Drosophila melanogaster: one gene and its partner. The protein of the gene in region 1 interacts with the protein of each later gene in a pairwise test. Each region holds a gene or a part of one and is shown on either strand. Other genes may lie near its edges.

What was found.
Region 2: the proteins of LysP (region 1) and BCAS2 interact in a two-hybrid assay, tested with the Drosophila melanogaster proteins (one large-scale study listed by BioGRID).

Annotation. Positions count from the first base shown.
Region 1 is NT_037436.4:1,217,450-1,220,824, reverse strand, and holds LysP (lysozyme P), read left to right. Parts: upstream 1-2,128; 5' UTR 2,129-2,142; coding exon 2,143-2,568; 3' UTR 2,569-2,743; downstream 2,744-3,375. UniProt on the Drosophila melanogaster protein: Unlikely to play an active role in the humoral immune defense. May have a function in the digestion of bacteria in the food.
Region 2 is NT_033777.3:27,920,530-27,924,431, reverse strand, and holds BCAS2 (BCAS2), read left to right. Parts: upstream 1-2,075; 5' UTR 2,076-2,158; coding exon 2,159-2,233; intron 2,234-2,300; coding exon 2,301-3,062; 3' UTR 3,063-3,149; downstream 3,150-3,902. Other genes in the region: RpL4 (ribosomal protein L4), read right to left, coding at 1-292, 692-1,062, 1,127-1,307, 1,513-1,515; CG12259 (uncharacterized protein), read left to right, coding at 3,438-3,902.

The DNA of each region.
Region 1 (3,375 bases):
GCACGCTGACACTCCCTCGCTGCTGTCTATTTGTTGGGTGTCAGCTGGGCGTCGCCGGGGGTGGCACGCTGACACTCCCTCGCTGCTGTCTATTTCTTCGCCGCTGAAGACGTCGATGGTCGCTCACAAGTCCCCAGGCAGTGGGGACTCCAGATTCCTTCGCAGCCAGGGGGGCAGGACTTCTTTGGTTTTGTTAATGCTGGTGCTGGTGCTGGACATGCCTGGTATTTTGGAACTTCATTAATTGTGGGTATATTTTTAATATTATCTGAGTGAGTTTTCTCGAGCTTATGGGTCTTTAATTCTTGCTGATATTGCAACAAGTGGTCTAGCTCTGCATGTAGCTTTAGAGCTTTCGACCAAACCGGTGGCGTTTGCTGACCGTATATTAGCCACCTTACGTGGGCTATACGTTTATTCAGCTTAGTTTTCAAACCGCCACGGTGTTTGCCCATACTCAATAGAACTCTACTCACTCAGATTTTTCCTTGGTTTTTGCAGTTCCATTTAATTAGTCCAGTCTTCTTCCAGTCCAGTGTTCCTTTGTTCCTTTGTTTTCACCAGCTTTGGTCAATTCGTCCAGCGTTGGACGACTGTCACGGTCGCCATGTAATGATGAACTGCTTGTCACGATAACTAGTCGTCATAGTTTATGCTAAGCTATGCTATGCTCTCGATTCGTTAACATTTACACTTGTGTAATGATGAACTCCAATTAAGAACACAAGTCCGTTTTAAGTTTAAGGCAGCCGTCGGGCTGACATATATTTATTCAATTTCTTCTTTTGATTTTAGAGTAGGCAGAAATGGTTCTGTCAGCTCAACGTCTACAGAGTCTCTCCGATTTTACAGTTTTTTATATATTTGGACTTAGGCTAATCCGCGTAGCTGCGCTGCCGGGTACGCCAGCAGCGGAGCGGCGTTCTTATGTATATCTTATATATCTAGGCTTATCGGGAGAGCGAGATATGTATGTACGTATGTAATATGTATTTGGTCGGCGTGTGAATGCTGACCATGCACTTATACTTTGTGGCCTTCGAGTGGGTGATCATGTTACATCCGCCCTGGCCTAACTGCGTGCATAAACATAAACATAAACATAGCAACAAAGTGCTGCCATAAGTTAATATGCTATTTTATTTAATTGTTCTTAATATTGCATAGGCACATACTACTATATCAACAATGACGGTGAATTGGCTGACTGAATTGGCTTAGAAGGGGCTGGCCCATTGAGCTGCCAAGAGCCCATCGAGTTCGAGTAGCCGAAAAAGATAGAGCTCCGGGGCCGCCCAAGTGGTAATCCAGATGATTAATCACACTTTCGGCCGGCCATAAAACCAGAGCACGACCGGGGGCTAATAGCTGCAGTCAAGTGGAGCTGTTTCGCCATGAAACCACTGCGAAGTCGGACATTAAACTTGGGCCGTGCAACAGACGGGATGGGAATTCGTCTGGGCCAGAGAAAGAGCTACTGCCACAGCCACAACCGTAGTCATGCAGTGCAGTTTGCACTGTTCGAATAGCTCGAATGCCGCACAATGAATAACGTTGAATAATTAGCCCCCACATGCAACCCCACCCGAGTTGCGTGAGCAGGGACCCACCGCGGAATGGCCAAGACAATGCAATGCCTACTTTATTAGAGATAAATATTCCGAATAGTTGATGGAAGACAGACTTCAGCCGACTTCAACCGAATGGATCTCTTACGCACAAAGCTGAGATACGCTTCACTTCGACGTATTTAATGCGTAGATCGTCCGCTCGAGAGTGAAGGAACCACCACCATATCTGGTGGCTAAAGACTTCCGTATTTTTGGAGGTACTCGAAGTGACGTGCCTGTTTTGAAGCATAGTAGGAGTGATTTTCTAGCGGCTAAGATGGTAAACAAATGATAGGCTAACAACAAACATAACCTACAGATAAGAACTTAACTTGGTGGAACATTTAATTCAACGAAGGAGTGAATTGAACTACCTACATTGTATGGGAAAGCCACCTTGTTTGCACCCTAATGATGGGTAAACAGTACTGATTGCTGATTCTACCATGTTGACTCAACTGCGACCACTTGCATGCTCTTCGGCTATAAATATTTCGCGACCGCTCATCGAATTATAAATGAATTCAGTAAGATGAAAGCTTTTCTTGTGATTTGTGCTCTGACTCTCACAGCAGTCGCTACCCAGGCCCGAACGATGGATAGGTGTTCCCTAGCCAGGGAGATGTCCAAACTGGGCGTTCCCCGGGACCAGCTGGCCAAGTGGACCTGCATCGCCCAGCACGAGAGTTCCTTCCGCACCGGCGTCGTTGGACCGGCCAACTCCAACGGATCCAATGACTACGGCATCTTTCAGATCAACAACAAGTACTGGTGCAAGCCGGCCGACGGACGCTTCTCCTACAACGAGTGCGGCTTGAGCTGCAATGCCCTCCTAACCGACGACATCACCAATTCCGTGAAGTGCGCCCGGAAGATCCAGCGCCAGCAGGGATGGACTGCTTGGTCCACATGGAAGTACTGCAGCGGATCCCTGCCCTCGATCAACAGTTGCTTCTAGTCTCGCCCCCTCCCCCCCCTTCACACACTCATACTAAATGAAAGTTGTTGCCAAAGGAAGATGAGAAGAAGAGTTGTTTGAAGTACAAAAATGTATCTTCGAGATAAGTATCTGTGAGCTGAAGACATCTTAATCGGATAAAGTCGAACAATAGCCAGTTAGTGTTATAAATCATATAACTCCTCGTTGACTTTTTCGATATTCATGCACTTTAAGACTCATATTTCTCGAGTGTAATTGGTTCGTGATCTTTCAGCAATTGCAAAACTGTCTCCGATGGAAATGGAAATAGGAGAGCCTTTTTGGCTCAACAAGCGGCGAAAAGTGAAATTTTATATAATGGCCCACACATAACAGAGTCATTATGACAGTTGGCCTGGCCAAAGCGACTGAGATCTATTAGACATTACGGCCGCAAAGCGGAGCGTCAGTCTTGGCCAGTTGATGGCAAATGGCTGGCTGGTAAACAAGTTAATTTAATTTCCAGGCATAAAACAAATTACGTATGAAAAGTCGCCGTTATCGCGGCGTTTATTTATCATGCCCGTTGCGATGAAAACGCATAGTGTCTCTGGTGGCGAGTGCCAACGGACTTTGGCTCGGATCGAAACAATTTCGATTCAATTGCATCTATGGCAGAGCGGGGACGTGGACACGATGTAGGTCTATGGGATTGCCATTTGCGTCTAATCGCCGGAGATCAACTTTGCCATTTGGGGCTCGTTTAGGCCTGGCCAGATGGCAAAAAAAAATGGCAAAAGATGGCAAAAGGCAATGACAAGTTGGAGCCAGAGCCCAGAGCCTAAT
Region 2 (3,902 bases), on another chromosome or scaffold:
GCAGGTTGTAGCCCTTCTTCAAGGTGGACGGCTTCTTCCAGGTGCCGAACAGATCGTTCAGGCGGGCGAAAGCCGACTCGGTCCAGATGACAAAGCGACCGACATGACCGCCGGGGGCCAGCTTCAGCAGATTGAGCTTGTCCACGTTGATGGTCTCAATGCCGGGGATGTTGCGGAAGGCCTTGCGCAGACCCTCGTCCTTGTCGTAGACCACCAGGGGACCACGGCGAGCGATGCGGCGACGGTCGCGCATGGTACCACGGCCAGCACGGAAGCGCTGCGACTTGTACACCTGCGAAATGAATGAGAAACAAGTTGATAGTGAGTATGTATATTCCAGGAATTCGGAAATAGAGAACATGAATACAACAGCTGTTGCTCTTCCGTTACCACGATGGAAGCCGTGAATCAAGTTTCAATCGTAACGCCAAGAAGAGCATTTTATCTGGCAACGCAGGAGATCCCTGCAAGCATCGGACAACCAGAAGAGTAGCCAGTTGCTTGCACGCTGCCAAGTAAGATTTAGAAAGCATCCGAAAAGTAGGAATCCAATAAAAAGTTATAACTTTGCAATTAAAACATCACAACTTCACGTTTTGTTAAATAAATACGTTGAAGTTGAATAGACGCACAGTTAAGTGACCTAACATTCTTCGGATTAAGTTCTTCATAGGTGTACAAAGTTACCCACCTTCTGGATGTCAGCCCAGATCTTCAGGCGACGCAGGAAGATGACAGCCTGCTTGGTCTTCTGGACCTTTTGCACCTCATCGGACACGACCAGCGGGAACTCGGAGACGCCGTCGATGACATGTCCCTTGGACTGGACCAGAGCTGGCACTCCTGAGGCGGCGATGGCCGACACCAGGGCGTAGCGACGCTGGTTGACATTCACCTTGCGGTGCCAGCGACGGAACGTCTTGGTGGGGGCGAACATGCGTCCACCACGGCACATGTTGCCGAAGGCTCCCTGGCCGGAACGGTGGGTACCGCCACCACGCACACGGGGAATACGGGCCACAGCACGTCCGGTACCCCAGGACTCGGCGGAGGTCTGGTGACCTGCAAACAGGAATTCAAACGGGTTAGATTCACACAAAAGAGGAGTTATAAACAGTTTACTCACCAGCCAGCTCGCTGACGGCGTAGGCCTGTCGGTTGTTGCGGCGGAGCAGCTGGTGAACCTCGTTGACCACATCCGGACGAATGGGCGCCTTGAACACTGCCGGCAGGCATATGTTCTTGTCCTTGGCTGGCTCGTTCTTTTCCGTGTACACGGAGACCAATGGCCTGGCGTTGCCTAAGCTCTGAAAGTGCACATGGTATTCGGGTTTAGTTCACTGATCATTTCACATCACAAAACACAACAAGCGCATTTCGCCATCGCCGCACATTCCAAACACGTGGAGGTTAGGGCGACACTTTTGCACTATTTTCGCATCGTTTCGTGTGTTAAATCCAATGTTTTGGGGTCTGCTGCGGTTGCGGAGTGCCTTGTGCTTCGTTTCTCACCATTTTCGTTGATTTTCAAACCCAATGAAAGGTGCTAAATATTCTGCAAACGCAGATACCGTCCTCTTTTTATTAAGAAGAACGAAGAAAGAAAGAGAGCTGCCGGAAATGGCTGCCAATCGCGTTCCACGGCGCATGGTTGCATTTGCTAACAGCAGCAAGTGTCAAGCTTACAGGGCTAATTGGACGCTGTCCAACACTTTTAGCTTTTTTTTTCTCTCGTAAGAGAAGTTTTTGTTTATATTCTCGCAATTAAACTATAATATTACAAATCTAAATTCGAATTTATCAATAACGTATTTTAGTTAAATTTATAAATTAGCAATGCGTTTTTAAAGAACAAGAATACAATTGTTGTAATTTAACCGCATAATAAATAATCAAACAATACATAATACATACATACGTTAAAAACTAACTTACACAACTTTTATTGGTGAGAAAACAACGCTTATTTTTTGCTTAAATGTTCATGTTAAAACAAAAAAATTTACTAAATAGATATATGGCTATTAATTAACAGCATTCTGTTATCCGTTTATATAGCTATAAAGTAGCTAAATGTGCCACACTAGTGCGAAGCGGCAATTGTATTTGTTTACTTGCGGAAAAAACAGTCTCAAAACACAGAAATTAATAATAAATAATGGCTGGCGAAGTTATTGTGGATGCTCTGCCCTACATAGATCACGGCTATGACGATGTGGGCGTCCGGGAATCGGTAAATATACGGATATCCATGTTGCACGTTGAAACTGACTTTGAAATGGCATCTTCTTCTTCCAAAGGCTCTCGCCATGGTGGAGGAGGAATGCCGGCGCTATAGGCCCACAAAAAATTACCTTGACCATCTGCCACTGCCCGCCAGCTCGCCCTTTGAGACTCCGCTGATGGCCAACGAGTTCGAGCGCATCCAGAACCGCCTGCCCATGGAGACGCTCTCCATGAAGCGCTACGAACTGCCACCGCCGCCATCGGGCAAATTGTCGGAGGTGTCCGCCTGGCAGGAGGCCATTGAGAACTCGATGGCCCAGCTGGAGCACCAGTGGGTGCGCTCTCTCAACCTGGAGCTAATGCTCGACTACGGCACGGAGGCATGGAAGTCCTACCTGGAGGTCTTCACCGCCATGCAGGCGAAGGCGCAGCTCCAGCTGCAGCAGCTGAAGAAGGACATTCAAGATGTCAACTGGCAGCGCAAGCAGGCGCAAACGCAGGCCGGCGAGCGACTGCGCTCCCTGGAAGCCCATTGGGTGCTGCTGGTCTCCAAGAACTACGAGATCGAGACGGAGTGCGTCGAGCTGGAAAAGATCGTCCATGCCGCCCGTCAGCAGCTGCGGAAGATTACCCCGCCGCCCAGCGCCAATGACACGGCTCCAACGCCGGAATACACGAATGGTTTCGACCAGAACGATTTGGCCGAGAGCAACGGCAGTAGCTCCAGCAATCCAGATCCAAGCCAACCTGGCGATGATGGAACAGATGCCGATGGTGACAGCAAGGAGGAGGACAAATCCGAGGCACAGGAGGAATCTTCCAATGGATCAACGTAGATTTAGTACACTGAGCGAAAGCATGAAGCAAGTTAAAGAAAAACTTACGACTGTAACTAAATATAAAGGATATTAAAAAAAACAGCTAAAAATCTAAGATTTATCTTTATTTTTCAAAATCGTTGCAGAGAAATAGTGATCCTCTTCTTTTTGCTCTTATATCAGGGGAATGGACAGCTAGTAAATTTTAAATAATTTCAAGATTAAATATTTTATTATTTCAAATTGGTAAGGTAGTGTTTTGTGCTGTAAATTTTTTATACGAAGAATGGCATTTTTCAATGTTTCTGCTACGGTCACACCAATTGGATGTTTACAAATTTCGTTTACGAATTAAATAAAAAAAAATATAAATAAATACAGAAACAACTAAGGATGGCCCACTACAAAGGTGCCGCCAGCGAGGCGGGCCGTGCAGCCCAGCTGATGAAGAAGCGGGAGATCCAGCAGCAGGAGATCGAGTTTCGCAAGAAGAAGATCGAGGAGGAGCTCAAGCTGGACAAGATTGAGAACAAGTTTGCCACCCACTACGATGCCGTGGAGCAGCAGCTCAAGTCCTCGACCATTGGTCTGGTCACCCTCGACGAGATGAAGGCCAAGCAGGAGGATATAGTGCGGGAACGGGAGAAGAAGCTCGCCCAGAAGAAGGACGAAAAGGATCGGGAGAAGCAGCGCGCCCTGGAGGCCATTCAGGCGGAGAAGAACAAGCAGAAGCGGCAGATCCAGGCGCTGTCCTTCAACCTGGACGACGACGAGGAGGAGGAGGAGGAGGACGACGAGGATCACGATAAGAAACAGCTGAAGATTAAGCAGGAGGATCAGCCCAAGCCCAAGTGGACG